2 linked regions of the Saccharomyces cerevisiae S288C genome follow. The gene in region 1 interacts genetically with each later gene. Each region holds a gene or a part of one and is shown on either strand. Other genes may lie near its edges. The genes, in order: PMP1 and NTF2.

What was found.
Region 2: mutations in PMP1 (region 1) and NTF2 together harm fitness more than expected from each alone (negative genetic interaction), as found in Saccharomyces cerevisiae (one large-scale study listed by BioGRID).

What each region holds. Positions count from the first base shown.
Region 1 is NC_001135.5:162,331-165,277, forward strand, and holds PMP1 (proteolipid ATPase), read right to left. Parts: upstream 738-2,947; coding exon 615-737; downstream 1-614. Other genes in the region: YCR024C-B (uncharacterized protein), read right to left, coding at 269-535; YCR025C (uncharacterized protein), read right to left, coding at 1,116-1,526; nucleotide diphosphatase/phosphodiesterase NPP1, read right to left, coding at 1,781-2,947.
Region 2 is NC_001137.3:170,283-173,329, reverse strand, and holds NTF2 (Ran GTPase-binding protein NTF2), read right to left. Parts: upstream 1,216-3,047; coding exon 838-1,215; downstream 1-837. Other genes in the region: YER010C (bifunctional 4-hydroxy-4-methyl-2-oxoglutarate aldolase/oxaloacetate decarboxylase), read left to right, coding at 1-696; GTP-Rho binding exocyst subunit SEC3, read left to right, coding at 1,512-3,047. UniProt on the Saccharomyces cerevisiae protein: Facilitates protein transport into the nucleus. Interacts with various nucleoporins and with Ran-GDP. Could be part of a multicomponent system of cytosolic factors that assemble at the pore complex during nuclear import.

The sequences.
Region 1 (2,947 bases):
TAAAAAATCAGGACGAGAAAAAGTAGATCATAACTATAAGTTGTGCATACTCATACTCCACACTCGACGGCCTAATCTCTGTAAGGATTGTATTTTATTTTTTATTTATTTATTATTTAGATTTTCTAAAAATAAAAAAAAATCATACACTATTTTGATTACACTACTATGTAATTTATCTTTGAAAACAACCATGAAAAACTCAATTTTACACACACATGAGTTATCATGAGGAGTCATCAGCCAGACTTAACAATCACACACATTGTTAAGAGTGGAAAAAAATAATAGTGATAAAAGGAAAAAAGCTAACAATTTGGATTTTACGGGATCTGTCTAAATACGAAACACACACTCGTTTTAGTTCAAATATCATAACCATAAAAAAAAAAGCACAATTCAACTTGAGCACGCACACTAAGTAGTAACAACGTTCATTTACAGTAAAGCGAACGGACGAAACAAATAAAAGAAAGGCATAGTGAGGGATAAAAGGTAGAAAGAATTCAAAAAAGGGTATCGCACACACACACATAGTAGTCTAATTCATGTTCTAGAATGGATATAAACAAAGATGAAGGGGACAGGAAATAAAATGGCTCGCTCCGCCCTTTTTAGAATCTTTGCAATCCTCTTTGTCTAGCTTGCCATTTTCTGTAGATAATGGTAGCAATAATGGCAATACAAGCCAAACCGACCAAAATGAAAACTAAAATAACACCACCTGGTAAAGTCATTTATGATAGATTAAAAGTGCTGAAATGGGAAGAGGAGAAACAAACAAAGGATATGTAGGAACAAAAGTTTGCTTGAGTGACTAGTTTGAAGTTGAGAAAAAAAAAGAGATGAAAAAGTTAACTTATTTGCTCTTCCTTCAAAGTGTGTAGCGTCTTCCTTTAAATACTATTGAAAGGGAAAAAGAATAAATGGAAAAAGGGTAGTAATGAAAAACTCTAAAGGAAGATAAGACGCAATAAGAGAAAAAAAGGGAAGTTAAGATTACAAGAGAAACAATAAATTGCTTTCAAAGCTTTATATACTGGCAAGCACGGAAGGCTAAATTTGAAAAAAAAAAATGGGAAATTATTATCGGAAAAAATTGAAGCTATCTTCTATTACGCAGTGACAAGTCTATATTGACATCTTTCTGCTTTCTGCTTTCTGTTTGTTGTTTTTTTTCTCATAGTTGTTTTGATTTTACTCTGTTGGAAATGCGAAAATTGTTTTGATTTTACCCGATTGCGACCTATTCCCGGCTTTCCCAAAAAAGGAATTCCTGTCCAATGCAACGACAGCCATAGAAACAGCCGCGGTTGGGTGCGTGGGTGCGGTAATTTAACGATCATATGGTATGGGTGCACGTGGGATTCTAGGGGAAGTGCGCGCGGATACCGAATCGGCCATCGAACCGGCCACCCGGATTGAGTTTGGTATGTTGCCTCTTTGCGCAATTTTATTGAATGCAAAGTTTCTCCTTCTAGTAAAGGACAACAGCTGAAAAATGCTCGATGTCCAAATGACGACATAAACCTCCTCGTTTAGGAAAGAGTTAACACGCCTAGTTTCAGCTTGTTTCTTTTTATTGTGTAATTAGTTTTCTTACTTAGTACATCTTATTGACCCCACTGTCATCGGATGTGAGAGAGTGGTTCACTTCTGAATTAAGTTTAGAGATATACTAAATCTAAATAAAAGTCTCTTTCTGCGTGCATATGTTTTCTTGCGCGGGACTCACAAGGATGCGTCTTTTATTTCATAACGCGGTTGTCCCACCTTAAGCTTAGGTATCAGAATCGACTAAATCGTCGATGCTGTCAATTATGTCGTCAATGAGATCTTTTGCGTCGTTGATTATGTCTTGAAGCCAATCCCCCACTGTGCTAGCAGTAGCGCTAGCTTGTATGCTGCTGCTGCTGCTGCTTCTTGATGATGGTGATGTTTCGCCCAGTAGAGTCTCAGTTGCTGATGGTATTGAAGTTGTCATTTCTAGTTTTATCGTTAATGACGAAGATGGCATAGCGGCTATTTCATCAGTGTTTCCATCGTCGTTGTCATCATTATCATTGTCAACATTGTCTTGTTCTGTCTCTTCGGGGTACCCGCCCCAAATTATATTATAAGTGCTGAATTCACCAAACTTACTGACCAAATAATCAAAGTCATCTTCAATCTCTACTTCTTCGCTGCTCTGGGGTTCGCGGAGTTGGTTCATAAGCATCCCAGTCCCATCATTGGAATTTCTGTCCTTTTCTGCCACACCGCAAATATCACACAAAAGGTTGTAAATTTCGGTATTTTGGAACGGCTCAATGTATCCCTGTGGAAAATATGGCCCCATACCAATAAATACAGATCTCATATCGATCGCGTTATTGTCGTATCCATGTGATCCAATCGTGAACACATTGTCTTCGTTTTTGTCCTTATGATCACCTTTTGCCACCTTCTTCAATTGTTCTTTCTTCATCACTGCATACCCAGGCTCGGGCACAATCCAGATTGACGCCATGTGATGATTTTTTCCATCATTAAAGTTCCATTCTTTGGGGAAATTTCCATTAACGTAAACCGTATACTTGTCTTCATCTATAGAAGTCTTTAAATTGTGGTAAACCTCATTGATGTTTCCGGAATCTTTCAACGATATAGCCATCATCGGACCCTCTAGATATGCGTGCGATACATAATCCTTCCTCAATTTTTCGTCCAGTAAGTCTTCCCATATAATAACATTTGAGGGAACTACGATATCGCTCATACCATGATCGCTAACAATGACCAAATTAGTAAAGCTGGTTAAATTTCTTTCTTGCAGCGATTCCACTAGTTGCTTCAGAAATGTATCTACTTCCCCCAGTGTTTCAGTGAAGTCTTCATAATAGTATTCCGACTCTGACGGATATCCATGCTTATGTCCAAAGGCATCTACGTTCGGTACATAACCGAG
Region 2 (3,047 bases), on another chromosome or scaffold:
CTTCAAAAGTTACAGAGGTTCTCAACCTGTGATATTTCGGACGGATTGTTGAATGTTTATAACATTCCAACGGGTGGTTATTTCCCTAATCTAACAGCAATTTCTCCACCGCAAAATAGCTCCATAGTAGGCACTGCATACACAGTACTGTTTGCACCCATTGATGATCCAAGACCTGCCGTGAACTATATAGACTCTGTCCCTCCCAACTCAATACTCGTCCTCGCACTGGAGCCCCATTTGCAAAGTCAGTTCCACCCATTTATTAAAATTACGCAAGCGATGTACGGGGGGCTGATGAGTACCAGAGCACAATATTTGAAATCGAATGGGACAGTAGTCTTTGGACGCATAAGAGATGTGGATGAACACCGGACTTTAAACCATCCCGTTTTTGCTTACGGTGTTGGATCTTGCGCTCCAAAGGCTGTCGTTAAAGCCGTAGGCACTAACGTACAGTTGAAAATCTTAACGAGTGATGGCGTAACCCAAACAATATGTCCTGGTGATTATATTGCAGGTGACAATAATGGAATAGTACGCATTCCTGTTCAAGAGACTGACATTTCAAAATTAGTTACCTATATCGAAAAGTCAATTGAAGTGGATTTACTTGTCTCTGAAGATATTAAGAATGGTATTCCCGCCAAACAAGCTCAAAATGATCGAAGATCAGTATTAAAGAAATACATTTAAAAACGCTATCTTCATACATATATATATATATATATCTTCTTTATCGCTATCGCCTTATACATCGTTAGCTAAGCATCTTCAATTATGCTAAACAATATTCGAAAATGAAAATACATGTTTCTGTGGTGACTTAAAAAATCCTTAAGCAGAGTAATTCAAACGGAAGATATCGTTAAACACGTAGTAAGAGTTTCCATCAGGAATCAAATGGAACACTTGAGAGAAACGCTGTGGATTTTGTTCTTCGTCAATCAACAGATCACCAGTGATCATGACTAAGACATCGCCATTTGGGGAAGCAGGTTGCGCATCCAAAGTAGTGATACGATGTTGGACCTTTTGAAATGGCAAAGATACTAATTTCTCAACAATGTCCTTTGCACCTTGCAATTGACTAGTCTCGAATGTTAGCATAGATTCATTTCTGTACAAGTTACCCAATTGGCTTCTATCGGTATCAAATTGATTATAGTAAAACTGGGTGAAGTTTTGGGCCAAAGTGTTAAAGTCGAGAGACATTATAAAGATAATAGTATTAAAACCTGGGTTCCTTAGGGGGTATTGTACACTAAAAACTAAAAAGTACTTACTTATCAGCCTAAGTCTCACCTTGCCAAGTCAGAAAATTTTTCGTTGCTTTTTGAGAACCACGCTTGTGGGACTATGTCACCCGGTATTAATGGGCAAATACTAACTTGGTGAACACTTATAGCAATAACAGTATCATAGCTTATGAAGAAAAAGCGGTCATAAAGACTGAGTCGGTGCCAGATATCTCCAGCTAGGTAACAAGGCTACGCAATTTATTCTATATTATGAGGTCCTCGAAGTCTCCTTTTAAAAGGAAGTCTCACAGTCGTGAGACATCACACGATGAAAACACATCGTTTTTCCACAAGAGAACAATATCCGGTAGCAGTGCTCACCATTCTAGAAACGTCAGTCAAGGTGCAGTACCCTCTTCCGCACCACCTGTTTCTGGTGGAAATTATTCGCATAAGAGAAACGTGTCGAGAGCTTCAAATTCCTCTCAAACTTCGAATTTTTTAGCCGAACAATATGAAAGGGATAGGAAAGCCATAATTAATTGCTGCTTTTCCAGACCCGACCATAAGACAGGTGAACCGCCGAATAATTATATTACACATGTCCGGATTATAGAAGATTCAAAATTCCCTAGTTCAAGACCTCCTCCAGATTCAAAATTGGAGAACAAAAAGAAAAGACTCCTTATTTTGAGTGCCAAGCCCAACAATGCCAAGCTAATACAAATTCATAAAGCAAGAGAAAACTCAGACGGCTCTTTTCAAATTGGTAGAACTTGGCAGTTGACCGAACTAGTAAGAGTAGAGAAGGACCTGGAGATATCTGAAGGCTTCATTCTTACCATGAGTAAAAAATACTACTGGGAAACGAATTCTGCGAAGGAAAGAACTGTTTTCATTAAATCTCTAATTACTCTATACATTCAAACATTCGAAGGTCATGTCCCTGAATTGGTCAATTGGGATTTATCCCTTTTTTATCTTGACGAGAGGAGTTATCAAAGAGCAGTCATCACAAATCGCCCCGGTTCCGTATCTCCAATAAAGTCACCTACAAGTAATTTCACGACAAACACTACCCAATCGGTGGGCTCTGTCCCCTTTTCAGCACCTACTGAGAGGACAAGAAGGTCTGAAACAGAAAGCGTTAATCCAGTGTCAACGCCTGCAAGCGTGGAATATCATGCAGGAATGAAATCTCTAAATAAGGCCCCCTATTCTTCCAATTCGACATTGAATGAAGTGAATAAAAGATACGAGTTAGAGCAACAACAGCAACAAGAAGAGGCTGAACTGAGACGATTAGAAGAGCAAAAAAGACTTCAGTTACAAAAGGAAAATGAGATGAAAAGATTAGAAGAGGAAAGAAGAATAAAGCAGGAGGAGAGGAAAAGGCAAATGGAATTGGAACACCAACGACAACTCGAAGAAGAGGAACGAAAACGTCAAATGGAACTGGAGGCTAAAAAGCAAATGGAGTTGAAACGTCAACGGCAATTCGAAGAAGAGCAACGCCTAAAAAAAGAGAGAGAACTATTGGAAATACAGAGAAAACAAAGAGAACAAGAAACAGCTGAGAGATTAAAAAAAGAAGAGCAAGAAGCGCTTGCTAAAAAGGAGGAGGAAGAAAAAAGTAAAAGAAACAAAGTAGACAATGAAAGTTATACTCAAGAAATAAATGGTAAGGTTGATAACCTTTTGGAGGACTTAAACGCAGTTTTGGCGGAAGAAACAGAAACCACCCCTACTATGCAAAATGGTACTTACGTGCCCGAGAGAAGTACAGCTAGAGCTCATGACCAATTA